2 linked regions of the Caenorhabditis elegans genome follow. The protein of the gene in region 1 interacts with the protein of each later gene in a pairwise test. Each region holds a gene or a part of one and is shown on either strand. Other genes may lie near its edges. The genes, in order: hxk-1 and ZK829.7.

Region 1 (17,337 bases):
TATATTACAAAGACGCGAAATGTTGCGCTTTTCGCGCCAAGGTCTCACCACGACATAATTTTGTTAAATTCGAAATGCACGCACATTTTTGAATTCAACAAAAATATTTCGGGTCGAGACCGGGTACCGTACTTCTGGAGAAAAAGTTCGCGTCTGAGTGATCTTCAATAACCTCGGTTAATATATTCATTCAAAATCAATACCAATACTTTATATTCCAGCAAAAAAAAACTGTTCCCACGATTCAATATCGTTTATATATTTGCTTTTATAATTTTTTTCATTTTTCAAAAAATCGTTCTCCATATTTTTTGGCTTCTGAGAAATTTCAGACGATCATTTTTCGTTAGGATCTTCAGCTAAATTCTTATTGAAGAAGTTACAGGAATTGTTTCCATAGAGTCTCACAACGAGCTTTTTGACCCATAACCGTTCGGGCGTAGAATTTGATCGCGACGAGACCCAAGAAAAAGATGTGTGCACCTTTAAATTTTCTCACGAATAAACGATAATACTCAGAAAACTACAAAGTAATATCGAGAAAAATTTAAATAAAATTTCACAGTGGAAATAAGTTATACATTTCTTTTTTATAGTAGAAATTCATAATAAAACTCTCCATTCTCGACGGTTTTTTTTTGTTATTCTTAGCTTCAACCAATTAAAGCAAATTTTGAATCCAAAGAATACTAATTGTTTTATGAACTGTTTTAACGTAAACTACTTTGATAGAGAACGTGCCAAAAACAAGGTCCTAAAATTTTGATGTGCCCATCTGCGCACATCACATTTCGCAATGCTTTTCCCCATTTTGTCATGACGTCATACGTCGCCCCTCTGGGTCCCCTTTTCCTTCTTAACACTTTGCATCATTCGTTCACAGTTTTTGAAAATCATAATATTACGCACAAATTCCAAAACCCCATAAAACTGCTGTTCTTTCAAACTGTTTGAGCTCTACTTTTTTTGTAAAAACTTGCGCACACATTCCTTAAATCTTCCTCATGTTATTCGAAGCTCTCACTGGCTCTTCAAATGATCACCTTCCCCTTATTCTTTTTTTTTTCATACTCAGTTTTGGGAAGTTTTCATCCCCCTTTGCCAGTATGCAACCTAAATTTTGAGGCACCTTAGAGTCATCTTAATAAATTAATTTCTAATTTTACTCGATGCATCATGTCGCCGCGCCTGCGGTTCAGTGGTAGCTCTAGAAAAAGCATTGTCTTTAGGGGATTATCCGAGAATCGGCAGAAGATCCACACAGCAATGAAAGTTCAAATTTTATGAAATCCTGATTGAAATTCACGACTTTATTTAAAACTTTTTATTTTATTTCAAAGTTTAACAAAGAAATTTATTTCTTAATTAATTTGAAATGAACAATTTCATTTTTAATATGTTTGCGAGATTTTGTGAGGATGGATCATGCTGTCGAAGGTACTAAAAATTTTATATTTAGCAGATTTTCATAACCTTTTTCCTTGACTTTCCTTCAAAGAACTAAATCCGAAAATTTCACTCTGTGACTCATCTCATTCGTTATTCTCGTTGCTTTATTCCGTTATAATTATTCCAAATTGCTTGCTTTTCAGAAGAAAACTTAACAAAAAAGAGCAGAAGAGAGAAGAAGTAATTGAAGTATTGTCATCAAGTGGAGATAATAGTATGGCAGCAACGGGAAAATGTAGTAAAGTACGACCACGATTTGAGATGCTCAAATCGATGAGCATTCAAAATTCAATTGATGTTTCCAATAATCAAATGGTGCGCCTTTTTTTTTTAATTTTGATCGTTTTTTTTTCCAAAAAAAGACAACCGTACTTTCAGCTAACTTTTTAAAGCTACTTTTGAGACGAAACCTTAAATTTTAAATAGAAATTAATAAATTGCAAATGTCTGAAATATAAAAATGAATTAATTTGGAAATACTTCTTATTTTAGATATGGACTAGTTGGCAAAATTTTAAGCTACATCTATTCCTGTTGTTTTTAATTGTAGTGAAATTTTTTAGCTGCTGTGGGACTAAAATGATCAAATGAATTAGTTATACTTTTCAAAAAAAAATTCAATTATTTTGGCAGATAATGGCAATTACTGATTTTTTTCGTTAATAATTTTGAAAGTCGACAAAAAATTTTATTTTCCAGGAGTTTTCATGCTGATTGAAAGAAAATTTTTGTAGGTCTGAATAAGAGCTTTGCTTATGCAAAAGTTCTCCAAATTCTCCAAAAATTTGGATATCTGCCAAATTGTTCTTGAAATTTTGAAAAATATTTTTTCAATCTACTTGGCTATTTCTGTTCATTAGAATCATTAGAATATTAGCACAAAATCCAAACTGGTTTTTGCCTTTTTTGGAATTTTGACAAAAATGTCAGTTCATATTTTCCTTCCAAATTCCGTCGTTTTCAATTCTCCCGTTGAAAAATATTGTTCTTGAACATTCGTTTAGTGGGGGCGATCTCTTTGTCTTTCCACTTGTGCAAATATAGTTGTTGTTTGTAATTTGTCTAACTTTGAAGCCACATTTTCCCACATCACTTCCCTTGTTAAAAAAAAAGAAATGCGTTATAAAGGCAAGAAAACTTTACTGTTGTTTTCCATAACAATGGGTATATCTAGAAAAACAGTGAAAGCTTCTGATTGAATCATGATTATTACCCTATTGCCTGTTGATATTTAATTTGAAATGAGTTATTTCTGATTCCACTCATATCTGGAGAATATAATGTTTATAGCCTATTGTCAATAAATTCCTTCCTGTTCCTTCCAAAATTATTTTTCTGGCCGGAATTTCATTTTTGTTACCTAACTTTCCTGTTTTTAAAGCAGATTTATTGTTGCCACACAGCCTTGTAAAAATGTTCCAGAAACTTTTTTCTTTAATACTTTTCGATCTGATAAGATAACAATAGAGCTAACCAAAGAACACAGACAATTCATTTTTGCTATACTTTTTCTTTTTTATTTTTCCCATCTTTGTTTGTTGAACATCCACACACTGTTGCATGTGTTCCTTTTTTTTGCAAAATTTCCATCTAAACATTCATTTCCGTTTAAATTTGAACAAGTAATTCTTTGGATAAATTTCGATTTTCAAAGCTTCTGCTCCTCCAGTGGCATACACTACATTCAAAAGTATCTAAATTCCCTTAGAACTTTGTTTCCGACTAGTCGATCCGGAATCAGTCCGACAAGATTTAATCCTCACATGTCCGCTTTCCTAAGTGGCTCAGAACTTCGCCAACGATTTATTTTTGAATTTGAACTGTGCGTCTTGAATAATTTCGGAAATCAATTTATAATGGTGAACAATTGAAACTCTAAAATTACATTGCCAAAAACTGTTCCAACATTCAAATCTTGTGAAATCAAGTCCACATAATTAAGTACTTGGTGTAGTCTGTTGAAAAATTATTTTATTTTGTTCTTCCGATTTATTTTTATTGCCTCTAAGTCACATCACATTTATGTTCCAATTCTAAACACAAAATACTTTGTAGTGTCCTATAATTGTGCCCGTAATGTGATGTTTTAAATCATCAAAGTAATCATCAACATCAACTTCTCTTCAATTTGAAATGAGTTATTTCTGATTCCACTCATATCTGGAGAATATAATGTTTATACGAAAAACTGCAACTCGATACGTTTTCCAATCGTAAATTGAGTGTTCTGTGAGTGTTTATTGTGTTTTGTGCTGATTTTGCAACAAGAAGAAAATTGAGAAAAATTAAATGAATTCATAATTATGGATGCTCTCGAATGATCAACTGAACGCTTATATGATCATACCACTTTTCTCTCCGTGAATATCAAGAATTTCTCTGAAAATGTGTTATCTTAAGAAAACAAGATGCACATATTGTCTTATCAATTTTTCATCCAAAATGTCCATAGATTCATGTCTGTCAAGTTTTCTTTGTTTCAATTTACAGACAAAGACTCATTTTGGCACATTGCCAACTTATCAGTGATTGATGTGAGAACTTGTTCTTTGTAAATTAGCGTTTGAATAGTTCCAACAAAAAACCTACATTTGATTTGTAAAATTTATTGGCTCCTCTTTGTCCTAGATTTAAGACAGTTCCATTATTTGAACGCTAAAGGGGATTCTTACATACCGTAACCAAATCTAAGCGTCGAAATTATTCGGCGTTCCGGGGGCGCCTCTCGCCTGTCTCGTCTCTCGCTTTTTCCTCCTTGTTTCCTGGTGTGCTCTTCGTCGTCCTTTGAAATATACGCGAAGTCGGGGATGCGACTGGAAAAATGGATAACACTTTGGAATTTCCAGATTAGGCACTTCTTTGGGGTCTTCACGTTCCTTTTTCTTACCGAAAAAGTAAGATCTAAAATTGTGAAAAACATTAAGCATCCTCTCGTATGATCACCATAATGAAAAGCGGGTATAAGGTCCCCCGTCACGCCTCCAAAAAAGCAATCATGTCCCCGGAAGTTCTACTTTTTCCCCAACATCATTCTCCAAAATCTCAAATTTCAAATTTTCTCCAAAGTGAACCTCTGCACCGCCTGGCACAAAGTAATCGATCCCATAAACAATTTTTCGCGCTCGGTTCAGCAGTGATTTTTGCTCCGAGACACTGTCGTCCCGTGTGATATATGTCAAATATTGACAAATTGAGAGAAGAATAAGTAGAAGAAGAAGCTGACAGATCCCTAATTCGCAAGTATATTTTGTTCTTTGTATTTTCGTCGCAATCTTCCAAATAAGTGTAGATTTCTTGTTTTAATTCAGCCAACTTGTTTTTATGATGAAGCAAGGGGTGTTGTCCGGGGGAGAGTCATACAGTTCGTCAGACATCAAAGCACTACAACATAGACACATATATAGATGATGCACGTCATTCCGTTTCCCTTTACAGTCACGTTTTTACTGTCTCTTTGTCTGCGTCTCTCGTGGTTCATTAATGTATAAGAAGATATATATGATGACGTGATAAGACAAATCATCATATTTGTATAGATGAAGTTGAAGGGTTCTTAAGAAACGGACACAATATGGAAAAATGTTTGCTTATAGTTTCTTTTTGGTGTCTGATTATTTTAGTCTACATTTTGTATAATTTTGTTTTTAAATACGAATACCGTAATCACTCAATTTTCTCAATTTTCAAAAATTTTGCACGGATTTTTTTTCGAAAATTTAACTTATCTTTTTGAAAATGACAATTAAAATAGAACATTTGTTAGTAACGAAGACATCTGCTAAACCTATCCTGATTAATAAAGAAAGTGCTACCGTATAATTTTTCCTCGCGGCGAGAACCATACTACCAATATGTGAGCCTTTAACTACGAGGTTCAGAAAGTTGTGGATCAACTGCTAAAAAGTTTGTTTTCATTTGCAAAATGTTCTGTCCCGTGGAAATTTGAAATTGAAAAAATTGCAATCTCCTGGAGAAAAGAAAAGTCACGTTTTGTACGTCTTCAGACCTATAATATTTAATTTTGATCTACATATTGTTCTCCCCCACTTTCTCTGATCGCCCGCTCTTTTCGCCACGTGTTGATCTCTCGATTCTTAGCCGGACTCCGCCCACTTTTTCTCTGTCTGCTTTGATGATGCTGCTGCACTTACTTCCACACGATGTTATTGCTGATCTGATGTTCGGTGTTTTTATGATTATTATTATGTTTTCCCCCATAATTCCTCACTGAAATTTCTCGGATGCTTTCATAAATCAGACCACACTGTGGTTCGAGGATGCAAGAAAATTCAATTAAGTAAGAAAGAGACCGGTACTGAATTTTTCTTATAAAAGAGGAGCCGCCTTTGTTCTTCTTCGTTTCTGCATTGTTATCAGATGGCGACCCCCGAGACATTCTTATATTCTCCTCCTTCTCCTCCTCTTCCCGTCCCATCAGTGACCGGCTGATTGTTCTCTGCTACTGATGATATAATACTAGTGAAAGACCTCAATTTTTATGTACACGAAAAAAATGAACATGTGCAAATATTTGATAGAGCTACGCTGATTTAATCACGTTTACTGTAGACTGAGAACAATCAAGACGAGGCGGAGAAAATTAGAGAAATTTTGCCATTTTCTTCGCAAGGCGCACAGAGTTTAAACCAATAATTCTTATATTCGAAAGAAAATCGGAAAATTTCTGTAGATTCATACAAAAAGTATGCCTACATAAGAATTTCTTAAAGGAAATGTGGACATAAAGCCCTTTGGGTCCCACCACGACTTCATCAGATGAGTACGGTAGCCGGTTCCTTTTTATTGTAACTTTTCTTTTCATCAATCATTCTCTCACATTTGTAGACGTTTTTACTGTCTTTCTATTTTTCTATTTTTTGCTGAATAAAGCAAAAAAGATAACATCATGTTCTTTTTGTCGAAAAAAGTATAAAATAAGCTTTTCATTGCCACTTTTGTCGCTTGAATTTTTCTCATCGTTACAAGTTTTTCTTCTTCCTTCTTCGTGTTTCTTGATTCATCGTTAAAATACTTTTAGAAATTATCTAAAATATGTCATCTATCGTATGCCACCCAATACTCGACTCACAAAACGGAATCGCCACAGATGCGGTCATCAAAAAGCAACGTCCACCACCACTTGTCCTTTCCAGACCCAAAGACTTGGTGCGGTTGCTATATAAAATGATTAATTAAGAGAAATAATTGTAGTTTAAATAATATTCAAAAAAAATATGTGATTGAAATAATATATAAATTTACAGATCCAGGAAGCATGCCAACGTCTTGTTCTGAGCGATCAGCAGCTTCGACGAATCATGCAATCGATGGAGAAAAGCATGGAGCAGGGTCTTGCTAGTAAGCTGTTATGAGTGTATGGTTGCCTTTAAAATTGAAATTTTTCAGCTTCTACGAAGAAAGTCGCTGTTAAAATGCTTCCAACCTATGTTGATTCTGTCCCGAACGGAACTGAGGTAAAAAATACATAATTTGTTAGATTTTGGAAATTTCCATTTCAGAGTGGCGATTTTCTTGCACTTGATCTTGGTGGTACCAATTTCCGTGTTCTACACATCAAACTACAAGGAAAAGAGACAAAAATGACTGGAAAAATCTTCCGTGTTCCTGAAAGTATCATGCGAGGAACCGGTGAAGCTGTAAGTTTTTGTTTTGTCTTTCTCTCAGTCAAAACGTTTTTTTTTCAGCTCTTCGATCATATCGCAGGTTGTATGGCCAAGTTTATGGGTGAGAACGATTTAAAGGATGCCCAGAAGTTGCCGCTCGGATTCACTTTCTCGTTTCCATGTGAACAGGAAGGATTGACAAAGTAGGGGAATCTAGCTTACATTTTTTACTGAAAAACTATTATTTTAGCGCCAGTTCAAATTTAATAATTCTTTCAGAGGAAAATTGGTCACCTGGACGAAAGGATTCAAAGCATCCGGAGTAGAGGGTGTTGATGTTGTCACTTTGCTTCACGAAGCGTGCCATAGAAGAAAGGATATTGATATTGACGTAGTGGCACTGCTCAACGACACAGTGGGAACACTGATGGCTTGTGCATTCCAAGAAAACTCTTGTCAAATCGGAGTCATTGTGGGAACAGGTACCAATGCATGCTACATGGAACGTTTGGATCGTATCCCGAAGTTGGCTGGATACGTTGATGAACACGGTGTGACACCGGAGGAGATGATCATCAACACTGAATGGGGAGCATTTGGGGACGATGGAGCACTCGATTTCCTTCGCACCGAATGGGATGAAGTTGTGGATCGTGAGAGCATCAACCCAGGACAACATCTCTATGAGAAGATGATCTCCGGAATGTATATGGGAGAGTGTGCCCGAGTTGTTCTCGAAGATTTGGCAAAGCAAGGATTGCTGTTCGGTGGAAACTCGGATGCTATTTCGGTTCCTCATTGCTTTCCAACAAAGTTTGTATCGGAAATTGATAGTGATCTTCTTGAGGATGATGATCGAACATTCCAAAAGACTTATCAAATTCTCGAGGATATTGGTGTTGAGATGATCACTGCGAATGATTGTGCCAATGTGGCGTACGTGTGTAGTTTGATTTCAACTCGTGCTGCCCATCTGACAGCCGCTGGAATCGCTATGTTGCTCAATCGAATGAACAAGAAACATGTGACTGTCGGAGTTGATGGATCTGTATATCGTTTCCATCCAACTTATCCAACACTTCTTGATGCCAAAATTGGAGAATTGATTGTTGGAGACATTGAGGTAAAAATTGAAGACTCATGAATTTTATCACAAATCATTCACATTTTGAATTCTAAAATGATTAATTTACAGTATAAATTGATGCTCTCTGAAGATGGATCTGGACGTGGAGCTGCTCTCGTTGCTGCTGTTGCCACTCGACTGAAAGAGGAAAAGCTTGCCGCTTCTCTTTCATCGTCATCGTCCAATCAGTAGTCTCGTCGATTCTCATCTGTTTAAAATTCGCTTTCTGTCACTTTCACCCATTTCATCGAGCTTTATCCCTCACCTAGGCCCCGCCCACACTTGAAACAAACTTCCAATAGATTCGAATACGGGATATACTTTTTTCTTATTTTTTAAAACATTCTCCAATTTCTAGGCATAACTGTACCAATTTAGAGCACCCATGCATCCTCCCTTACTAACTCCTTTCTTCATCAAACGTATAAACCACTAACCTCCCTTCTACAACCAAATAGAAATAACAAAATCCACAATGGATTGCCAATTGATTTATATATCTTAAGTTATTCATTTTCTGAAATAGTGATTGGAATTTTTATATATATTACTTATCAGTGATCATCCTTTACCGAAAATTTGTGTATAAAATACGTTTAATGTATTTTAATGTTATATGTTCAATTACTCAAAAAAAACAAAGGTGATCGAATTTTCAAAAAAGAACGGATGACACTTGGCGTACGCTTACAATGTTAGAATGCAACAAAAAATTGATAAAAATTCAGCAGGGTTCTAGATATATGTCCAAATGCCAAATGTAGCACACATCTCTGACCGTCTGATCGTCATATTCCACGCGTGGATCCCCCATAAAATGTCGGCTGCCAAACATCAGTCACCTATAATGGCACATTGTTTTTCCCTGTACCTGTTACTTTTTTGTCATCTCTCTTTTTGGAGATCTTCTATTGACTGTCTGTGTCTATAAAATCATCATACTCTCTATCTACCTTGCCATGTTAATTGACCCGTGGAGTGAGTTAGTCCCTCTGATCAAATATGCACCCGCATTCATTTACGTTGGAAGAATAATTTTGGGAGTATTTGCACACGACAACCGGTAGAAGAAGTTCCACCCCTCAATGTTATTCTCTGCGTCTAACTGACTCCATCTCTCTAAGTTTGAAGAATACCTTATAATCTCACTTGAATATTGTGAGTTGTCATGAAATTACTCTTGCTACTCTTATTCTCTTTTCCAGTTTTTATTTGTAAGTTTCAGTTTTCCGTTTGAGAATTGGTATACTGTCAGAATTTGTGCCACATTCAACGGTTACTAGGTTACATTATACTGTAAATGAATGAAATTTTGCTCGCGACGTTCAATTTCGTATTCTAGAATTTCTGTCTTTGAGTCCACATATATTTGCTTCTTGAACTTACCCTGGCGAAAAATAAGCCAAAAAGCAAAATTGATCTGAACATTGCTCCTGGTCACTTTCGATTTTTTGGCAAAAAAACCCCTTTAGTGTGCTCTAGAAGAATACAAAGTCAACTGATATTTCAATATTCAGATTCATTTTTTAGAGGTTGATACAGTAGCTGTTCCTCTATTTAAAATAATTTTAAACGAAATACCGTACTTCTTCTATTAGTATTGCCAATATTATTCAACTTTAACAGTTTAAATCTCAGTTGTCGTTGTTCCTGCTATAACTTTTCAAAGTAGAACAGGCGGGCGCAATACTAATAGTAGAAATACAGTAATTCTTTTTTCAGATAGCGAAGTAAATCATGCAACACCCCTAATACTTCCTCATCGAAATGAAGGTATGATCCTTAAAATCAAGACTCTGAAATTTCATTCATTCATTCAGATCCAGTATTTGTCCTCCTATCCTCAACACCATCAACACTACCAACAACATCAGCTCCACCACCACCATCCATTCCGATTCTAAAGCCAGATGCATCACCGTGTGATCTTATTGAAGAAGCAGCAGCACTTCACTGCATTGGACCACTTGTTGACTATGCTGCCGATCTGACCAATAATGTACTTCATCCACCACTTAGTGATGTTGTAGAGACTTGTGCCAAGTACAATCAGTATATGATGTGCACACAGGGTGTTCGACCAGATTGCAGGTAAATAATGGGGATGTATTAATAATTTGGTGATGAGCCACGAAACCGCAATCTTACATAATATTCGACGTTTCAACTTTCATCTAGATTCTAGAACAAGAACAAATATATCGCAGGCTGTTTTTTGGAGGGTTTGACTTTTGGTTGAGTACGGAAGAAAATTTGACTTTAGGAGCACAGTCAAAAGATCTATTGAAGAGTTAAACTTTTCGATTTTCGATCGGTAGTCATTCGTGAGTTGTCAAGTGGCTCACGCTTCCGTTTCGCAATGAATAATAACATTTACAAACACATATACACACGCATAAAACTGTTACATGTGTGTAGTAAAGTTGATTTGAAAAAGGTGAACATATTTGCAAACGATACAAAGAGCAAGTGGGCAATACACGCAAGACATCAAAACAAGTACTTCGTGTAATCCTCTCGGAGAATACATTGCTCATCGCAAGCTGTGTTTGTGAGAATAATCTGTGCAATTATAATCTGTTGAAGCTTGAAATTGCTTTTTCGTCCAATTTGAGATTTTAAGAGCAACGGCGATGAAAAGAAAAATTTTAAAGAATTTTCCAAAGAACCGGGCGTGGGGAACTACCGTATTCTTTAAAGGCGCACACTATTATATTTTTCTTGAAAAAATTTCGGTCTCGTCGAAACCGGTGACCGTAATTCAGCTTAAAATCCATATTTTGCAATTAGTTGATACCAAAACTTTCAGACAATCCCGGGCGCCAAATATTGAATTCATGTATGAAACGATTTGTGAGCCGAAGTTTGCAGCAATCATGAAGGAGGAGCAGGCATGCCTTTTGGAGGTTGAAAAGTAAGCATTGCTCTGTGTCTCTCTTTCATACATAAACTATTCGGCTACTTCTTGCAGCGACAAGAACGTAAAGGAGTGCTTTGTGAACAAAACCAACACTTTGAGGGACGAGACGCCAGACACTGGTAAGTAAAATGGAAATACGACAGAGGGGCGAGCGTGCGAACGTGGCTGAGTGGTCTAGTGGTATGATTCTCGCTTAGGGTGCGAGAGGTCCCGGGATCGATCCCCGGCTCAGCCCACTTACTTTTGCTCAAATCTAGCATGAAAGTGCTCAAAAATCCATTTTTCAGTGTCTAACCCAACACAAAACTACGAATGTACAGTAATCCAAGCGTACGTCGACTGCTTGATTGAACGGGAGGAGACATCGTGTCGAGATGCGGAGAAAATAGAAATCTCCTTTTTATCAATGTTAGCTAAACGGAATTCGGAATCTAGATGCGAATTGAACACCAATGCAATAAAGTCACGACCAAAAGGTAGGCATTTCTAGTATACATTCTCAAAGGTTCAAAAATAAAAACTCTCAGCTCAACCTCTGGAGGAATGCGACACACAAGGAAATTGCAAATGTAGATTACCCGGTTATTATTATGAAGCAGCCAGGAAGAAGTGTCTAGGTTAGTGAAATTGCAATATTATATTTTTGATGTTTTCAAAATTTGCAAATTACAGATGTCGACGAATGTGAATCTTTATCCTCTGCATGCTCTCAAAAGTGTGTTAATCTTCCTGGAACATTTGAATGTACTTGTGATCCACGAACGTATAAATTGGCAACTGACAATAAAACTTGCGAAAGAATTGATCAATGTAAGATTCAACTTTATCCAGTTTAGTCTTAATGTAAGTAATAAAACACGTTTCAGCTCCAATGTGGCTATTCTTTGCACATGGTCAAAGTGTATGGAACATTTCAACTGATGGAAAATCATTCCAATTACAACGTGCCGGATTACAAAAGACTGCAATGATTGATATTGATGTGAAAGAGAACCGACTGTATTATGCAGATATTGGAGCAAATGTAATTGAAAGAATGAATATCGAAGGAACATTCCCACAGGCAGTACAAAGATTTGATGTTGACGGATTAGAAGGTATTGCAGTTGATTGGATTGGAAGGAATTTGTACAGTTTGAGAAGGTTAGTTTCCAAATAAGTAATACCCCAACTTCTTTTAACTATAAAAATACCAACATTACTACTTGTAGAGAAGACATACTCGTTCAAAGTCTCGATGGCCGATTCCGTCAACCCCTGTATAAGAATGTTATGACGCTTCCGAGATCAATCACTCTACATCCAGCTAAAGGAATTATGTTTGTCACTGATTGGTCTGCAAATGCATTCATTGCTGCTGCTTCAATGGATGGTAAGTAGTTAGAGCTAGGCGTTGACCAGTTTCCAAAATACTATAGTAAAACTTTAGGTTCTCATTTCCGAAAAATTATAACCGAACGAATCACATGGCCAAATGCCGTTGCAGTTGATATTTTTGCCGAGAAAATCTATTGGGCTGATGCATTTTTGGATACTATTGAGTAAGTCTTATTATTTAATATCTCTATAAGATGCAATCAAAATAATATAACCGAAAAACATGACCTTCATGTAAAAACAAAAGCTCTTTTTTAACTGTGCAAACGTGATCTGTTGGACTCTCTGGGGCTCATTCCTAGGTATTCCTGACTGATGTACTTCTACAGATCTGCTAACATGGATGGAACTGGAAGGAGAGTAATAATTGCTGACGCAGGATCAGTTCCACACGTCTTTGGATTAGCAATAGCTGATGATTACCTATACTGGACCGATTGGACATACCGTGGAATTTTAAGAGCAAATAAGCACAACGGAGAAAATATCACAGTTTTGGCACAAACCGCTCTTCTCCCATATTCCCTTAAAGTCTTCCACAAATCCCTGCAACCCGAAGGTAAGCGTCTTGGTACAAAAAGCAAAAGATTTCGACCACGGCAGGACTCGAACCTGCAATCCCCAGATTCGAAGTCTGGTGCCTTATCCATTAGGCCACGCGGCCACGAAATTTTCTTATTGCAGAGACGTCGACATGTGAGACACGAGGGTGTGACCAGTTGTGTTTGTTAGGGGAGAACGGCGCGGCAACATGTGCTTGTGGAGAAGGGTTTGACCTTCTCAACGATGGAAAGAAATGTAGCTCGAACTGTAGTGAATCACAAATCGAATGCGGTGGAGCTGATCCAAAGTAGGTTAATTTCATATTCAAAATCAGTTTAAATTAAAAAAAAATAATAATGTCAAAATTGAATTTAAAGTATTCACATTTTTCAGATGCATATCAAAGATATATCTTTGCGATGGTCTTGCTCAATGTTCCAATCAAGCAGATGAAGAAAAATGCCGTAGGTTTAAAAAAAAAATCAAATACATAAAAAACCAAATACAAAAAATCAAAAGTATTGAAAATTTCATACGTATTTTCTGGTTCAACTGTGGTTTTCTAGTTTTCAATTGATAATATTCAGAAAAATTAAAAAAAAAAACAAAAACTATTAAAAAAAAAAAAGTGATGAAAAAAAGGAAAAGTGATGAAAATTAACAAAATCGATTTAAAAAAAACTCGAACATATGTGAAAATTGAAAACATTTTTAGTGGTTACTGTAGTCGCCGCGGTGAGACTCGGTGAGTAGCGGAGAGAATGTTTCTTCACAAATTTTTCCGAAACTTTATTGAATACAATTACACGTGTAGTCTGAGCGTTACCTCTATATCTGATCTCCTGAAATTGCGGTAAATAAAAAAGTGACGTCACTCGAAATGTCGACGATAGTAGCGATTGCAAGAGCTAAATCTCTTTGGTTTTTTTTTTGAAAATTCAGTCAAAGTACTTCTTTCAGCACCTAGAATCTGTCTTCCTGGTCAATTCCAATGCCACGACAATCATAAATGCCTTCCACCAGGTGGTCTCTGTGATAAAGTCACCGATTGTTCTGATTCTTCTGATGAAATATATTGTGAATACCAAAAAACAACAGAAAAGGGACAATTTGTTCTGAATACGACAAAAGGAAAACATTCAATAAGGAATTGAATTTCGGATTCTTCGATTTTTACTTTTGTGAAATTTTAATTGTTATTTCCGATTCTCAGGTCTCATTTATTTTTCGGAGATTACCACAAAGTACTTATTATTTATGCCTACGTATTTATAATAAATACTATTTTTTTCATATAAGATTTGAAAATACAATCTCCAATTTGCATCAAGAAGCTTACAAAGACATGATGATTTTCAAATTTCAAATTTTATTTCAAGTGTAGACTAGCGCGTCAAGCGCGCTAGGCTTCGCAGTAGATTAAGTTGGTTTTTTTTTTCTGGTAAAATGACAATTTCCGGCAAATTGGCAAACCGGCAATTTGCCGATTTTCCGAAATGATTTAAAGTTTCTAAGAGTAAGAAGGCGGCCCTAATCCCTGATTTTTGAGTTTGAGTGAAATACAATAGCATCGCAGGCCTCCGGCCTGCCCAGCTGGTAGTGAGGTTAAAATTTTCGAATAGTGCGGTCCAGGGGTGTGCGGCAAATCTCAAAATTTTGATTAACCATTACTATAACTCAATTTTGTGCCATTTTACAAAACTTTTGTAGACCAATAGTTGTTGTCAAAATTGCACTGCCAAATTTTTTAGTTCAAAATTTGCCGAGCTCGGCAATTTTGGCAAATTTGCCGCACACCCCTGGTGCGATTTTCAATAGGATTAGAAAAAAGTAGAAATCTCGAAATATCTTAAAAATTAAATTCTCCTCACGTTATAAAAATAAGAAATGAAAATGATCGAATTCATCCCCAAAATAGAGAGAGAGAGAGAGTGGTAGGAAAGTTTTTCACGTTTAATCCATCTTTTTAATTTTGCAAAATTTGAATGATGGCCTACATTTTGGAAAGTTGGTCAATTTTTTTCCAAATAGTTTCAAAAAATTGGTAATTCGAAGTTCTCTCTTGTGCTCAAATTGGAATCAAATGTCAGAAAAACTGCTCGTATGGGATTGAAAAATATAAAACTCTTCAGTATAAAGAAAATATTCAATTTTCGCGGTCTCCAGACACCCGCGCAAATCAGTGTTCTACCCTTCCCAAAACCAATCCCCTCAATAATGACCATGATGGGGCAACTATTTTTGAGGCATTCGCATTTAGTGAATGCAAAAGCGCCAGCTATGAGCCAAGTTATTAAAGCTCAAAGTTTGTACATTTTTGTCGGACACCCCATGTCGAAAACGTGCCCTTATTTTTTATTTCTGTCAAGAATGCAATTTCCGGATTTAATATAGGAAGAGGCAGATAAAAACTTGAACTCTTAGTTTTTTAATTTAATATTCTAAACTCAAATAACTAGTTTTTCACTTGAAATTTCGGAAAATTTGCATGTGATTTCCAAATGATCAAAAATGTATATTCATGAGTAATGCACTAGAACAAATATACAAACAAACGGTTTAATCATTGGATATCTGAAATTGTTGAAAAAGTAAAAATAACACTTATTTGGATGATCCTCAAGCGGTGGTCACTTATTGAAATGTTAAATAGACTGTTGTAGCGTCAATTATTCATTTTTCACTCCAAACACTTTTAAAGTACATCTCGTTCTGTTTACTGAAATTTTAGAGTTTTTGGAGTTTGGCTCTTCAAAGTTTATAGCTTTTACCCAGTTAATTTTTGTCTGAAATTGAAAAATATATTTCTTCTAATATTAGTCTTGACTATCATCATAGTTTCAACTAGGACTTCCATTTGAGGTCTGGCGCCTGCCTGAAACCTCCTGTCCTTTTACCTTTTTTTTGCATTTTGGCGCGAATTTACAAATTTCCAGCTTTCTCATTTCAATCGAGGCACGAGTTGGGCGTAGGCCCCTTTAAGGTCAGGCAGGCAGGCGTTCTGCCCCAGATTAAAAAAAAGTGAAAACTTAAGTGAAAAAAGTAATAACCACATTACAATTCAAATTATCGTGCAGCTGGTCTAGAAGAAACAAGTACAATACTGATAGATAAACCACTTATGATGTTATGGTAGTTTTAATCTCATAATAACTTTTACAAGTCAAGTTAAATTTTTAAAAATTGAGACTAGAATGACTCACATTCACAGAAAGGTAATACAACAGAGCAAGCGGGAAGAACTACCATAATACCATATAGTATCGACAGAGGCCCTTAGATCCAACCATAGATAAGACATCTTGTGAAATAAACTTTTGCTTTATTTAAAATTAAAGCTTTCGTGGCCTAGAAACCTTTAATCATAGTTTAATGCAAATTTAGATGTTTTCACAATCAGAATTTATATTTTCCATCCCATTGCCTCTAGTGGTTCAAATCTTTTTTGGAATTCAATTCCAATCCATTTTCTTTCTGTGTTTTTTTCTGTTTTTATGTCAGTTACTTCTCTATATCCGTTCCATTCGAGATATTCTTGTATGATTCATTCAACCGTATCACTCATGTTTTCAACACCTTTCCCTTTCTATTATTTCTGCTCCGGTATGACCTCTCACGCGTATACTCCTTTTCCGTTTTCTTTATTATTATTATTATTATTTGATTACTAATAAATTTTCAATAGATTATCCGATCAGTGCGGATCCCAACGGATACGCCATAACTCAAAAACTGGCCGGATTATGAGGATGCTGTACTCCAAAATCTCATCTGTTCTCTGCCTTTCGTCTTCTCATATACTATTTTTCGTTTTCGACTTGACCGGGAAAAGACCGCCCGTGATTTTTCAAATTTTCTGTTCCAAATTTTTAATAGAAAACATGTGATTATATAGTTTGGAAAAAGTTTTTATTTGAATCACTTTCTGCTTTTAGATTGTGTTCCCTAATTATGGTGTTGTGAAAGTATTTAAAGCACTTAATAAATGACCTCACTAGGAAAGTGTCTGAAAGTGCAATGAACTTTTAGACAAGACGTGTTTACACAATTTCTAGTTTAATCTATCATACACTTACCGTATTTTCGCAATAAATCTTGCTTTAACACTCATTTTCAATTGGTCTAGAGGCTGCAAGTATATTTTTTGGATGTCCCATAACTATGGAAAAGTGATCAATTTTTGTTCAAAAACTTAACTTGATACCGCAACTATTTGAACGCTGTTAAGTTAAATCGACCAAACACTCATCAATGAATCAAAATTTTGTATTATTTCCCCATGTTTTCTTGTTAAATTA
Region 2 (16,354 bases), on another chromosome or scaffold:
CAACGGATCCAAGTAACATAATATATGTATTTTTGATCACGATTTCAATCGTAATAAATACAATATTTACAATACTATAATAAATATTTATTCAGAAATGTAATCCACAGAATTGGCGTTTCCCACATGTCATTCACTAATTTCAACTATGGAATTGCATACTCTATTTTTATCATTTGGCTGACAATTTCCTTTGTTCAAAATCGAGTGAACACTAGAACTACGCCTCTCATTTATGTACATGAGTATATTAAAGAAGCTTCTCTGATCTTTTTATTATTTCAGATTCCCACTGTCTTCGCATTTCTCATATGTCACTTTCTTCTTGTACGTTCTCTACATTTGGATGGAGCAATTGAGGGAGTTCAGGAAATGTTGAGAATCGAATGGGCAGAGTTGTTATACAGTAAGATCTGGATAGATGCACTGAATTTGGTCGTTCAATCTCTGAGCATCGGAATTGGAGGTCACACTGTAATGGCGTCATTTGCACCTCCGGAAAAGAATACATTTCGAGTGAGTTAATTTTTTAATTTCAAAAAGTTCAATTAATCCAGAGATGTTTTGAATCATAATAATCTACTAATACAGGAAATTAATCCTATCGAATCATCCAACTTATAAGTCGTATTCAATAAGATAAAATACCTGACAGCCTGAAAAGAGACCTACTACCCAGGTGTGAGCGACAATCGAAAATTTTCGGCAATCGGCGATTTCAGAAATTGCCGGTTTAAAAAATTTTCTTATTTCACGTGCTGAAATTGCCGAAATTCCTAAAAATTCGATTTACATTTCACATGTTTAGAACCCCAATTTTTAATGATTGGTTCCTCTTTTAGAAAATTGAAATTCTCAGGCAATAGCCTCTTTCTCTACTACAACATGAATTTCAGGTCGCCACACTTGCAGTAATTTTGGACACGGGATTAAGTATAATTATCAGTGCAACCGTTTATTCAATTCTCGGATACACCAGATTTATCCTCGGTCGGAAATCGGTTTACGATTTAACAGTTCTTCCAAATGGTATTTTGCAATCTTAGCTGCATGAAAGGTCATTGCTTAAACATATAGTTTTTAAGGACTTCTACTGACTCATTCAACATTTCCTGTGCTCCTCCGACAAGTTGCTGCAAATTCATGGTTATGGGTATTCTTGTACTATTCTACACTTGTTGTTGTTGGCTGGAAATCTTGTGCTCGTTAGTTTACATCGGCTCATTTTGAATTAAAATAATTTTTTTATTTTCAGTTATAATGAAGACAATAACGGTTACAATTGCAGATATTTTCAATATTAAAATGAAAACCTATTTTTTCGACTGCCTATGTATTTTTGTCTCAATGGTTATTGCAACTTCTGGGCTCTTTCTATGTTTTGAGGTTTTTCTTACATTTTGTAATACCCTTTCTCTAAACCTGCGTATTAAAGAGTGGGCCATTGTACCTGACAATGATTCAAGATATTCAAACAGTTGCAACCGGAATATTCATAACTGCAGAACTATTTATTGTCCTCGAATTATATGGTTTAGACACAATCTATGGAGATATTCATGAACTTATGGGACAGCCATCCAATGACCAATGGAGTCGAGCTTACACGTGGCCCATCTGGAAATGGAGATGGACAACTGCACCAGCTTTTTCGATTATATTCGCCGTATCTGCATTCTTCAGACCCTTTCCGAGTCCTGAAAATGATCTTGAATATTACTATTTCTACGATGTAAGACCCGGAAATGTTAGTGTTAGGAAAAAAATTTGCATTTCAGTTAATCCAGTTTTTCATACTTTTCTTCGTAATTGTATCTCCATTTGGTTTCGCTTATTATTCATACCTGAAGATGTGGCATCACTTTGAAAAGTTTGAGAAGGAAGTAAGTTTTTTTTATTGAAATTAGAAATTCAACAAAAAATTTCAGAAACAATTCAATTCAAGTATCCTCTGGCATCGCCAACTTCATCTACGTTCGTGGAATCGAATTGAAAAGGAAATGAGTGAAGAACAAAGGAATTTTGCACATGTAAGTTTCTTCAAATTTTTTTTATTCGAATAATGAGATAAATTCAGCAACATCTACCTGAAAAAGAGTCTGAAGATTTGGAAGAGTTCTGGAAGTTGGTGTACCGCCCATTCTTTGAAACCCCGTCTCACGAAACTGTGATGATGCCAATAATCCCAAAATCTAAGGAAATTGTAAAGCCACGTCAAGCATCAAAGAAGAGGTCAAAGAAGAGAAGTAAGAAGGATGAATTCTTGACATTTGAGGTAATTTATTTATACAATGGCTCCTGGATTTATAAAACTATTTTTTCAGACGTATTATAAAGAAAAAGGAAAGTGACGTGGAATGCAATTTTCGAAAAATCTTAACATCAATACCCGTATATCAAATGTATAATTGTGGCCTAGAAACCTATTCCTATGTAATTTAATTCTGTCACAACACTTTACATGAATCTATGAACTTTGTAGCCTATAAATAACCACTAATCAACATCACAGCTGTCAAGTCATTCACAAAACACATCCCATTGCAACCTTTTTTCAGATAAATTGCTTTCAGAGATTATTATCCTGAAAATGATATACATGAGCTGGTTCCATACTTGGTCTCCGAGAATTTTTTGTGTACTTTCGTTTATTTTCAATATCTTGTTTTTAGTTCTTTTAAAGTTTAAATCTCCTCGGTACATTGGTGGATATCGGTATCTTCTAATGACTTTTGGAGTTTTCAATTTGATAACTTCAGTTACTGAAGCAGTAGTTTCAACGGTATGTTAGTTTTACCGACTTTACACTAAACCTCATCTTTATATAGGCAATCGAAGGATTTAATAATTGTTTGATTATATTTGTACCACATGGTCTTTTATTTGAATATCCGCTACTTGCTCAGAACCTTATTTCAATTCGATGTGGAATGTGTGCGTACACATTTGCACTGCTTGCTGTTCATTTTTTATATCGATATCTTGCAGTCTGCAGGTAATATCTTACTGATACTCTTTATTTCAGACTGATACTCTTATTCTTAGCTTTGAGACTTTTATTAGCATTTCTGTAATTTAATTGATTTTATTAAACGTTCCAGACCGCTTGCCATTGCCCATTTTTTCCGCCCAAAAACTATTTTCCTCAATTCCCTATTTGTAATGTGTTTTGGAAGTTCTTGGATGCTCATCGGTCACATAACTATGTGGCCTGATGATCACATATATGATCTAATCGATGAAAAGTTCATACAATTCCATAACACAAGCAGTAGAGATTTGGCAATGATTGTTGCAAATTATGAGGTGAGAATTGTAAGAATATTAATTATATAACCTAACAATAAAGTTAGAGTATCGTAAGTGGTGATTTTGTGGGAATACACCAATTGTAGATCAAGATGGCTAAATTTAATTATTAAACACCTCAAATTATTTTAAGAATTATCAAATTGCCCAAATTTTTGTCAATTGCCTAATTTTCAAAACTGAGTGATCGCCATTTTAGGACCAGTTATTCTAAAAAAAAAGCTTTTCGCCACTGAAGATACTCCACTTTTAATGCTATAAAAACCAATTTTAATTACAGTACCCCGTGTATGACTGGTCAAAAAGTGGAATTCTGGGAATGCTCATAGCCACATTAATCACCACTTCTATTATGATCTCCTATGTTTTCTTTGCTCAAAAAATTCACCTGTCACTGAAAGCATGCACATTTTCTGGAGCAGTGAAAAGATTACATTCAAGTCTTCTCAAATCTTTAATTGCTCAAACTATAATTCCATTGATAAGTACAATTATTCCTTGCTTTGTCATATGGTTTCTTCCACTTGGTGGTGATAATTATGGAGTGTAGGTTATAGATTCATAAGTTCTTAAAATTTTAAATATTTTCAGAATGCTGTCAACATACTTTATGCCACTACTCAGCGTGTACCCCGCAATTGATCCAGTTGTTATCACTTGTTCATTATCAGATTACAGAAATTCTGCATTGAAGACATTGGGGTTCCAACGAGAAGAAATCAGTACATCTAAACAGCCATATTCCAATATATTCACTGTAATTCCCTCTCTAAACAATAATTATATTACCCCAAATTAATGTTTCCTTCTGTTCAATGAGTTCCCAACAAAAAATTGGTGTTCAGAGAATACTATGTACATCCTTTAACAACTTGCAGCTTAATTCCTAATTTACTCAATTTTACTCAATTACTCAATTTACTCAATTTACACTTTTGCACTGCTTGCTGTTCATTTTTTATATCGATATCTAGCAGTCTGCAGGTAATTTCTTACTGATACTGTCTTCTCTTAATCTTAGGTTTGAGACATTATAAGCATGTCTGTAATTTAATTTGTTTAACTAAATTTTCCAGACCGCTTGCCATAGCCCAATTTTTCCGCCCAAAAACTATTTTCCTCAATTCCCTATTTGTAATGTGTTTTGGAAGTTCTTGGCTGCTCATCGGTCACATAATTATGTGGCCTGATGATCACATATATGATCTAATTGATGAAAAGTTCAAAGAAATTCATAACACAAATAGTAGAGATTTGGCAATGATTGTTGCAAATTATGAGGTGAGAATTGTAAGTTGAAAGACATTTAATATAAAGGTACAGTATAGTAAGATAGGATACTACGAAAGTATACTCAGAATATATAAAAAAGACCAAATATCGATTTTAATTTGCTCTAGTTTTTTTTTAAAGTTTTCAGTTAACGTTTTGGTAATTTGGCGAATTTTCAAAAAGTTTGGCCATTTTTATTAATATCAGACATTGTTGCAAGCTGGCCCTCGCATAATGTTTGAATATATTAATAATTTCAAATAATAAGTCATACAACGCAAAATGTATCTTGATCAATTTTTTAAATCATAATAAGTGAAAACTGAGTAATTACCACTTTATGACGGAAAGTTAAAAAAAAACTTCAAAATGTTGACTGACTGTACTATGATATTTGCTCATCATATCATATGAGTGTTCCCTTCAAAAACAATTACAGTACCCCGTGAATGACTGGTCAAAAAGTGGAATTCTGGGAATGCTTGTAGCCGCAGTTATCACCAATTCTATTATGATCATCTATGTTTTCTTTGCACGAAAAATTCACTTGTCACTGAAAGCATGCACATTATCATGTACTACGAAAAGATTACATTCAAGTCTTCTCAAATCTTTAATTGCGCAAACTATAATTCCATTAATAAGTACAATCATCCCTTTATTTGTTGTATGGTTCCTCCCACTTGCCGGTGATAATTATGGAGTGTAGGTTATAGATTCATAAGTTCTTGAAATTTTTAAATACTTTCATAATACTGTCAACATATATTGTGCCTATACTAAGCGTTTATCCTGCAATTGATCCAGTTGTTATCACTTGTTCATTATCAGATCACAGAAATTCTGCATTGAAGATATTGGGATTCCAAAAAGATAAAACCAATGTATCTAAACGTTGATTAATTCATTTATAGATTTGGAAAAAAACGTTTATGAAGTTATTTAAAATGTGTATGATCTATTGATTTCAAATGTTCACAACGTCGAACCACAAATTGATGTTTCCTCATTTTCGATGTACTCAAACTATTTTATTATCGAACTTTTTTATGGAAAAATTTCAAATTATTTTTTTGCAAAATATTGGATTTTTTTGGAGATATTTCAAATTATTTTTTTTGAACTTTTTTTTTGAAAAATGTTTCAATTTTTTGGAAAATATTCGAGATTTTTTTCTACTCTCATTCTCCCCTAGAAGTCATGATGAAATTCGTTTGTGTGCACGTGAAAAGCACATGTATTGAGGGACGAATAGATGCTTCGGCATCTGTAGGGTCCTGCGTCTCGTTACTCTCCCACTGTTATTTTTCATCTGCAATATTTTCGTTTTCCATTTCACAAAGTTTATGTCAGTTAGTTGTTGTTCCGGTTACTTAAAAAGCTTATTCTCAAAAAGCCTAAGTTGATAGAGCTTTCAAAACATCAATAGTTAATTTGAATCTCTAATTCTAATTGTAAGTCAAGTAGATTCTTTCATAATAATCGTAACTGTAATTTTGCCGGAAAAATGCAAAAAAGTTTTCTTTATTAAAAACTAGTATTTAAAATTCCGCCAAAAGGCACGCAAAGTGCGCAAAGCCATTCTTGACCCCGTTATCGTGACTAGGCGCACTTTCCGTTTTTCAATCGGATTTTTTGTTTTCGGCACGTTGTTTCTCAACAAAGTTTAATGTCTCAAGTGATTGAACCAATTTTTCTATCATTTAAACTGAAAACACTAATATTTTATTTCTCTCCAAGTGTTTACAATGTTGATTCTATTGATTTTTCTCTAAAAAGTTGTGTCTCTTCAAAAAACACACACGTGACCCATGCTCTCACTTTGATGGTTTATTCTTTGTTAACAAATTTATTGATATTGAAGTGTTTATTCAACCTATTTAATTTAATTTTCCTTGCAGAAAATGCCAGCAACAAACCGAAGAATTTCTTTGGGATCTCCAAAGGATCTTCGGGAAGTGAAGTTTTTCGACGAGGAGCCAATCCCAGATGTCCCACCAAAGGGAGCACGCGTTAAAGTTTGTTATGCAGGAGTTTGCCTTACTGATAGAGAAGTTTCCAACACGAAGCAAGCAAGAATTACCAACGGAATCAAAGATACCAGCTTGTTTCCAGGTTTGAAATTTAGATTAATTTGGCTTGAACTAATGAAAATAACATTTTCGAAATCCGTTATTGCAGGATATGAAGTTTCCGGAATTGTTGAGTCATTCGGCGCTGAATGCACACCTGGTGACTATGATCTGACTATTGGAGATAAAGTAATCGTATGGCCAACTGATGAGATGTGCAGTCATGGTTATGCCGACTATGTTGCTGTTCCAACTCTCCATTTTCTTGTGAAAATTCCAGAAACTCTTTCAATGCATGTAGCATCTATTTTGCCTGCTGGAGCTACCTGGGCGTTGTCTGCTGTTCTTCAGGTTTGACATTTTCCACGGTTTTTTTCTTCAGTATTAATCAACAATTTTTTCCAGGCCAGACCGATAGTCGAAGCGTTTTCACAATCAAAGGGATTCTGCAATATTCTTATCGTGGGAGCAGGAGGACTTGGACTTTGGCTTCTTAAACTCGCCAAGCATTTCCTAGCGATCAACAATGATAAAAAGATCCGTTTGATGGTTGCTGATGCCAAAGAAGAACGTTTGTCTCTGGCCGAAAGAAACGGAGCTGACTTTGTAGTACACTGGGATGATTCCGAATTTGAAGAATATCTGATTATGAGAACTAAGGATGTGGCTCGTACCGGTGTCAATGTTGTTTTCGATTTTGTGACATCTCCAAGAACTGTCACTCGATCATTGAAGTGTCTCGCTGAAGGTGGTGTCTTATTTGTTGGAGGTCTTTCCGGTCTTGATGTTCAACTTCCAATCAAGCACGTTGCTAAAAACAGACTGGCCATTATGGGAGTTACGAGGTACTATTTGAAGTTTTTTTCTTTCTTTATTTCATTTACAAAATTTCCAGAGGAAGTATCGAACAACTGAAAAACCTTGTAAATTTGATTGCCGGAGGCCAAATCGATGCTCCAGACTACAGAGTTTATCCAGTCGATCAAGCGTCTGCAGTGTTGAAGCAATTGTCGATGTCGGAGGTTGAAGGTCGTGCCATTCTCGAAGTTTGCGATCCCTCTTCAGCATTAGATGCAGATCAGAGCGGCGGTGTTCCAATTCCTGCCGCCACTTCCGAATAATTGCTCAATAAGCCTCCAAAGGTGTAATAATTGTATTTCCCATTTTGCCATTTCATACATTGTCCCGACTCCCTTCACTCATAATTATATAGTCAGAAAGTCTTATTTCATCCTGTGCATTTACTCTATTACTTCCCAGACATCGGTATTTTGAGTATAGTGTTGCCATCTGCTTTTCAAAAATTCCCTGTAACATAAAATCCACATTTTCTCCCGTTTCTTGCTCTAGATCCGCATCCTTCCAAATAATTTTAACATGAGAACGAAAATAATTTTTAGTTAGGTAATCTTAGTTTGTAAAAAATATGTAAACAAACGAATTCAATGAATATTATAAAAAAACAAATTACCGTTACAGTACTTCATTAAAGGTCATAACCAATTATACTTGGAATAAAAATAATTATTTCCTATTTTAACGAAAAAAAAACTTACGAAGTGAAGTCTCCAATGACACCGGAACCGCTCCCGACGTGCCAGGCAGATATGAGGTACGACGTGCTGGCGAGAGCAGGATTCGCTCGTCGTGGAAATCTTCATTTGCCACATTCCATCGTCGAAACGCCTGTTTTTATGCCTGTTGGAACACAGGGAACTATGAAGGTATGGAATAAATTAAGAATAAAAATTCTAAATTGAAAAAAAAACTTTTTCAAAAATGTGAAATTTGTTTGTGATCATAATAAAGTATAATACAAAAAATAAAACCTGTTAGTTTTTTTTTTAACTTTCAGTGAAAATTTTTTCAAATTTTTGAAAAGTAGAGATTTTATGAAGTTTACAGCAAGTTAAATTTATGAACATTTTTTTTCAGATTCTCATTTTTCGATTTTCCCTGAAAAAAATTAAAAAAATATTTTCTCGAGTTTATGCAGTTTCATATATAATAAACTTACAGGGAATCGTACCGGAACAACTAGTCTCGATGGATTGTCGAATTCTCCTTTGCAACACGTACCATCTTGGACATCGTCCCGGTCATGAACGAGTTAAGGCTGCTGGTGGATTACATAAAATGATGAACTGGAATCGTTCAATTCTCACTGATTCTGGAGGATTCCAAATGGTCTCGTTGAGCAAACTCATGACAGTTGATGAAAATGGAGTGAATTTTGAAAGTCCTCATACCGGAGAGATGATGGCTTTACCACCAGAAAAATCAATTGAAATTCAACAAGCACTTGGTGCTGATATTATGATGCAGTTGGATCATGTAATTCATGTATTGACAACTGGTGATATTGTAAAAGAAGCAATGCATAGAAGTATTCGATGGCTTGATCGATGTAAAGTGGCTCATACAAGAGATGATCAAGCGATGTTTCCAATTCTACAAGGTGGTCTTAATTTGGAATTGCGGAAAGAATGTGCTAAAGAAATGGCGAAACGAGCAAAAGTTGGAATTGCAATTGGAGGATTATCTGGAGGAGAAGAAAAGGATCATTTCTGGAGAGTTGTGGCAGCATGCTGTGCAGCTTTACCCCCTCATCTTCCTCGTTATGTGATGGGAGTTGGATTTCCAGTTGATTTAGTAATCTGTTCATTTTTGGGAGCTGATATGTTTGATTGTGTATATCCAACAAGAACTGCAAGATTTGGAACAGCAATGGTCAGAAGAGGTGGATTGATGCAATTGAATCAGAAACGATATAAGGAAGATTTTTTGCCGATTGATAAGAAATGTGAATGTAATACATGCAAGAACTATACGAGAGCATATATTCATTCGATTGTTGGAAAAGTGAGCTTTTTTTCAAAATAATGTATTTTTCAACTTACTGATTTAAAAAATTCAAAATTTTCCATGTTTCCGTTTATTTGCAAAACTGTAATGATTTACAGCTGAAAACGTAATTAGATTTTGCCGTAAAACGTTGAAAATATTCAGACCACTTTTTAGAAACGACATTATAAAAAATAAAAATAACGTTCGAACACAATTTTTTTTGTCAAAACCATGAAACCAAAAAAAAACTTTTGTCAAAGTAAATACCATAAAAATCAATAAAAAATCTCTCTCTGTTACACATAATAGAGAAAAAAGCATCACAAAAATATGTCTCCATTTGCAAAATTAAACACAATTTCCAATAGTTACTTACCTGTTATCCCGTCATTATCGGGCCTACCGTAGTCCTGACAAAATACGTTTAAAAAAGTTTCATAAACGCACCCTACAAAAGTTAGACTTTTGCAGATTTTTTGCAAAGTTTTGGACATTTCAATAATACTATTTGATGTCGAATTTTATTTTAAAAAAAATTCAAGTCTCAATAGATCCATTTTGAACAAATTTGAGAATGTTCTTAGCTAAATTTAATTAAATCTCAATAATTTTCCAGGAAACGGTAGGATGTCATCTAGTATCAGTTCACAACATCAAACATCAACTGGATCTTATGCGAGACGTTCGTCAAGCGATTCAATCGAATTCTGTTGAGCAATTTCTGAAGCAATTCCTATATGACTATTATGGACCAATTCAATCTGAAAATCCATCGAAACAAGATTCTGAGAAGATGAGGGAAGTTCCTCAATGGGTCAGAGATGCTGTAGATCATATGGGATATAAGCTTGATTTTTGATTTTTGATTTTCTTTGTTTTGTTGTTAATCTTATTCGTCATTGTTGAATTGTTGTTGAATCATATACATTTTTTTAAATCTTATCAATCAATTATAATAAATTTTATTCCAGATCGCGTAAAATTCCAATGTCAGGCTTCTTATCTCTAGACACGTGGTTCCCTTTAGGACCGAAAGTTCAAACTCGAAACTTTTTCTACAGAATCTCCCCCAGCCAACACCACCACCACATACAGAACGTTTCGTGCTATTTCGTTTGTGCTGCTTTTCGAGTTTGTGTAAACTCAGTGAGCTCTCTAATGGTTTTCTCTCTCGAGCACAGAGCCGCCTATCTCTCCTCCTCGACCACAATTGATTGTTTGAACTCTTTTCTCAACTACCTCATCATATCGCCACGTGTTTGTTTCACTGATGATTTTGTATCTGAGAGCCCAAGTGAAAGTCAATTTGCAACTGTACAGGGGGAGAAAGGGCAAATAATGAACCTATTGGCGTGCGGTAGACATAAATAAGAGAATGCCCACGGCGATGTCCTTCTGAATTTCGTTGAAACACTAAACATGGTGGTGTAATGGGTTTCAGTAACAATAAAGTAATTAAAAATCAACGGAAACTATAAGAAACACACGTTGTTTGTTTCCGTAGAGATGTCTGGTATTATTACAACTGGAACAGAAATCAAAAAGTTACTTTTGAATATAATATTTTGTATGGCACCATGGGTCTCACGACGAAAAAGCCAATAATAATAAAGTCGACGAAATACCTAACGAGACTCAACGTTTGGGGGCGGAGCGATTTCGTTTGGCGTTGGAGCGCTCTTGCATCTCGGTTTCAGAATTAATGACTTAATCGCTGACCCCCAGCTTAATATTAACCTATTGTATTTTAATAGAGGACGAACTTCCTCATAACAAAAATACCACGTGGCCCTGAGCTCCCTCCTGATAGCTGACCTCGAGCCAAAACATGATCCTATGATTTAAGGGGAATCCCCCAATCATCTCCCGGTCATCATCTGACTTCAGATGTCACCCCACCCAACACATTTTCTTTGTCCTCGACTTGTTATACGTGCAAAAGCGAGAAAAAACGAGACGATTCTCTTTTCGTCGCGCCATGACATCGGTTTCCGCAAATATCTCTGCGACTCTCACCCACGTGGGTCTCTAATCGTTGAGGATGAGAGAGCGAGAGTGAGAAGAGAAGCAGAGAAGATCAGACCATCAGCCAACGCTTTTTTATGTTGCGGTGCAGTGTCGACTGTCGACGACGAAACGAGCGGTGTGGAATTGAATGAACTTGGCAGTGAGAAGATGATGAAAAATGCAACGAAAAATCGTCAGATGATGATGAAGATGATGGCCACCCAGGCTTATATGGATTTTTATTGAGCTTTTGAAATTTAAAATTTTATAATTTATTTTGGTTCGCCTTTTCTGAAACTTCATGGGAACAAACACAGACCAAAATATTATAAAAGTGTAAGTTTATGGTAGTCTTTTTGAATTTTTAGAAGGCTACCATAAACTTTTCGGCGCGACGAGACCCGTCTGAATAAATCCGTGCGCCTTGAAAATGTATGCTATTAAAATCTGTGAAACTACACGATATGCACATTCCAAAATTTCTCTGTAACTGCAAAAATTCAAAAAAATCTCCAATTCTAAATATTTCCCTCAAACATTTGCGTACACTTCGAACCGAAATGGGGGATTCCCTCCAAACTGTCTTTATCATCTTTTATCATTTCTTCTTTTTGTCCAATCAGATTAGCTTCGTTCAAACGATCACCCAATTTAATCTTTCAACATTTCTTTTCATTCTCTCCAGGAATTGCATCAGTTTGACGACGAAGGTTTTGCCGGAAAAGATCAACTGATATGGAAACGGCCAAGCATCAACTTCGTTTAGACAATTCGAAAATTTTGCAACAATTGTGGAGGTGATTCCCAAATTTGAAGCTGATAGTGGCACACAATGTGAAAGTGATATGTTATCGAAAATTCTAAATTATAGTAAATAGAAAGACACAAGTCTGATAAAGTTTTTAATGCTCCCTGAAATTTCTTTTCCAATGATCATTGGAAAATTGCAATGACCATGTAGAAGTGTTTAAGGAAATAAACTTTTTATTATTTTTGAGATTTTTTTTTGAAGAATGGTCTCCGTCTCGAAACCGTCCCGAACCAACAAACAACGAAAAAATTATGTGTGGGGATGAAAAGGGGTGGGGAACCAATAAAATATTTAATTATACTAAAGTGAGAACGAACCAGGCAGAAAAGATCAGAGCTAGACTTTAGTTAACCTAGATAGTTTCGAAACAGAAAACTATGGAAAAGGCACTAAAGGGTTACACGAAGCTATTTAAACCTGGCTTGGAGCCATTTGATGTCATAAAAGAGGATACAAGAGCCATGAGATGAGTGAGAAGTGGGTACTTATGTGAAGGTGAATCCAGCGGTTCTGTAGGTGTTGTAGACCTTCTCGATGGAGTTGGCATAGGCAGCAGTACGGATATCAAGTCCAAGGTTGTACTTGTGAGCGGTGCGGATGATGGCTTCTCCGGAGCGTTGCATTGTGTACTCGAGTCCAGAGTGAACGATGTCTTTCTCGGAAGCTCCAGCGATCTTGGCAGCGAAAGCAGCATTTGGTTCAACTGGGCAATCCTTTCCGACGGCCTTGGAGAGAGATTCTTGGACCGAGGCTGAAAATTCAAACATTTTTAAACAGAAAGAATTGATTTACAATTTGTTTCCTAGAGTGCATACGTACTCATTTTCACGACAACGGTTGAGTGGCCTCCTCTCCCTCCTCATAAAATAAACGGAAAAGTGTGACAAGCGTAAGAGTATCTAGCCCTTGTTAGTTTCTAAACAAAATTTTATCACAGATGAAAACTTGCAAATCGTTTCATTGTGTTACTCTACGCAAGTCTAGGAATTCAAATTTCGAAAATTTACTTACCCAAAAGCATCTTGTTGGCTTCCTCGTCATATTTGAATGTAAGACGTCCGTAGGAAACATGGTTAAGATTCTTCAACCACTCGAAGTAGGAAACAGTAACTCCACCAGAGTTGACGTACATGTCTGGGATGATGAGGCAATCTCCACGAGCAAGAAGAATTCTGTCAGCAGCTGGGGTAGTTGGTCCGTTGGCAGCCTCGGCGATGATCTTAGCTTGAATGCGGCTAGCATTTTCCTTGTGGATCGACTTTTCGCAAGCAGCTGGAACGAAGATATCGCACTTCTCGTACATAAGCTCAGTGAATGGGTCGAAGTTCTTGGCTCCTGGGAAGTTCTTGATAGTTCCATTGGCGTCCTTCCAATCTTCGAGCTCCTTTGGATGAATACCATCTGGGTTGTAGACGGCGCAATCGTACTCCTGGATTCCGATGACCTTTGATCCAGCACGGTGGAGGTATCTGTGGGTGTGAAGTCCGACGTTTCCGAATCCTTGGATGATAGCAGTCTTTCCAGCGAGTCCGGTGTCAAGACCGACCATCTTCATGTAATCAGCATCGTTGGTGAACACCTCGAGTCCCTTCCACACTCCACGTCCGGTGGCGGAAACACGTCCGTGAATTCCTCCACTGACAATTGGCTTTCCTGTGATACAAGCCGAAGCATCCTGCAAACAAAATTATTCACATGCTCACAAAAAATTTATACTCACTCTGTCCAAATGTCCAATGGTTTGGGCGTAGGTATCAGCGATCCATCCCATTTCACGCTCTCCGGTTCCCATATCTGGGGCTGGGACATCAACTCCGGGGCCGAGGAATCCCTTCTTTGCGAATTCGATAGCGATACGGCGGGTGATCTTCTCAATTTCATAATCAGTGTATTGCTTTGGATCAATCTTGACTCCTCCCTTAGCTCCTCCGAATGGAACATCGACAACAGCGCACTTGTAAGTCATAAGAGCAGACAAAGCTTTGACCTCATCTTCGCACACATCGAGGGAATAACGGATACCTCCCTTGGTTGGAGTTCTGTGCTCAGAATGCTGTGCGCGCCAGGCCTCAATAACCTCGAACTCTCCATTGTCACGACGGATTGGGAAGGTGATGTAAAGGACCTGAAGAAAATAAAATATGATAAATTAATGAGACTCAAAATTCTTACCTTGTTAACTGGCTTGATAGCTCCAAGAATTCCGGACACGAGATTCTTCTTATCCTTTTGGCTCAAAGAGTTGGACTTGAGCTCCTCGGCGAGTTTTGGAGCGATGACCTCGGCTCCCTTGTTGAAGTAAAAGTCGACCATCTTGTAGAAAGATGGGTTGACCTGCTCCTCCATTGGCTTCTGCTCGTCGAGCACCTGGGAGTGGGCATCGAGAGTAGCGGCCGAATAGCTTCGGACAGCGACCGAGCGGGCGCCTCTGGAAAGAGTGCTCAACATTACCTGAAAATAAAATATTTTGTAATTAAAATTTAAACAAATAAGAGATTTTACATAAGAAGCCAAAGTGCAAAAAGGAGGAAAAGATCCGGGCGGAATCGAAAAGTAAGGAAAATGCCAGGAGGTCTCGTCACGAAATCCATGCGCCTTTAATAATTTTCAGCGGCAGTTTGAAATTATTTAAGTTATAGCTCGTTTAAAAATATTTAAATCAAAAAAAATTGGCAGAGGCATCAAAACCTTTTTTCCTAAAAAAAATGTGGCACCGCCCGCGAGTAGGCAAACGCTTCTAGGCCACGAAAAGCTCGTCCTGGGGACGCGGGCGCCATAACTATTCAAAACTAGAGGAGCCCAACACAAAACTGTTTACAGGACAACGCGCAACCATCATCGGTGGGCGAGACCGATGAAACTGCAAGCAAAAGATAGCGTTTCATGGAGGAGGAGGAGGAGGTGACTGGCAAATAGATATTTAGAGAAAGAGAGAAATAGAGGCAACATTCGGGGGAAAAATAGAGAAAAGATGCTCCGCCTATTTGAAGAAGGAAAAAAGAAGAGTGGGACGAGTGTCATTGATCTTCGCCCATATTGTGTGGTGCTATTGCATAGGACATACGATCTGCATAGCAACAAAACAAAAGAAGCAGGGTCAATCGACGTCATCTGAGAAAGAATCGAGACAGTGTCTCGCTAAATTCGCGTCAAAAATCTCATTCAACGAATTTTGAATACCAGTTTTGTTTTTGTTTCTCTTTCGATTTGTTTTACTGATCGACATCTTTGATTCTTCGTAAATAATCTTCAGAATAAGACAACCGATTTTTAAATTTTATTTCTCCCCCAGAGATTTGACAGAAATTTTTGAAGAATGTGGCTTTTTCGGTGGTCGCTTCCATAACCAAACATAGAGCATAAAATATTTTTAAAATGGAAAAAAAATAATTAAAAAATCCGAGCACCAAGACGCGCTACCATAAACTTTTTCTCCCGACGAGACCCATTGGAATGAATTCATGCGCCTTTAAGAACAAATTCTACACTTTTGATTTTATTTTCATTATTTATTGAAAAAATTTCAAGAATGATAAAACGTGAGCTTGTTAGTTGTGATAAAAAAGAAAAACAGGTTAGTAATTTGAAACCGGATAAATCTAGACATAAGCATAAATCGAAAGTTATAACCGATTGTATGACTGGAAATAGTTTTCATGAAATGAATTGTCATAATATTGCTGATTATAAAAATCATAATGGACTGTGGGCGAAGTTTGAAAACTAGGAGATAATTGGTCTGTTTGTGGAAAAGTATGAACCATCTGATATTCTTCTGGAGACGATGGGTAGAGAGAGTCATAAATAGAAGATGGTATTGATTGTGGAGAATTGTATTGATATTGATAAAGGTACGATGGTGACGAAGGTGATGATTCAAGCAAACTCATGATTCCCTTTTCAGCATTTTTTAGTTCCTTCTCATCTAGAGATTCGACAGGAAGTTTTGCTGGACGTTTCGAACGCTGGCACTTTGTTCCACTGATTTCATACTTTCTTTTTCTTGAGAAACGATTCATACTCTTCTTCAATTCAC

What was found.
Region 2: the proteins of hxk-1 (region 1) and ZK829.7 interact in a two-hybrid assay, tested with the Caenorhabditis elegans proteins (2 studies listed by BioGRID).

The regions. Positions count from the first base shown.
Region 1 is NC_003279.8:9,262,945-9,280,281, reverse strand, and holds hxk-1 (Phosphotransferase), read left to right. Parts: upstream 1-6,487; 5' UTR 6,488-6,501; coding exon 6,502-6,615; intron 6,616-6,713; coding exon 6,714-6,807; intron 6,808-6,855; coding exon 6,856-6,923; intron 6,924-6,968; coding exon 6,969-7,106; intron 7,107-7,154; coding exon 7,155-7,276; intron 7,277-7,352; coding exon 7,353-8,196; intron 8,197-8,268; coding exon 8,269-8,391; 3' UTR 8,392-8,802; downstream 8,803-17,337. Other genes in the region: F14B4.1 (EGF-like domain-containing protein), read left to right, coding at 9,368-9,413, 9,922-9,972, 10,020-10,290, 11,009-11,113, 11,171-11,238, 11,407-11,595, 11,647-11,736, 11,792-11,929 and 7 more.
Region 2 is NC_003282.8:11,951,664-11,968,017, reverse strand, and holds ZK829.7 (Enoyl reductase (ER) domain-containing protein), read left to right. Parts: upstream 1-6,482; 5' UTR 6,483-6,485; coding exon 6,486-6,696; intron 6,697-6,762; coding exon 6,763-7,004; intron 7,005-7,058; coding exon 7,059-7,498; intron 7,499-7,548; coding exon 7,549-7,774; 3' UTR 7,775-8,113; downstream 8,114-16,354. Other genes in the region: srj-1 (Serpentine Receptor, class J), read left to right, coding at 2,591-2,782, 2,829-2,995, 3,102-3,306, 3,590-3,855, 3,901-4,108; tgt-1 (Queuine tRNA-ribosyltransferase catalytic subunit), read left to right, coding at 8,225-8,377, 8,673-9,515, 10,117-10,359; gdh-1 (Glutamate dehydrogenase), read right to left, coding at 12,804-13,069, 13,330-13,993, 14,039-14,443, 14,491-14,766; tbx-36 (Putative T-box protein 36), read right to left, coding at 15,942-16,354.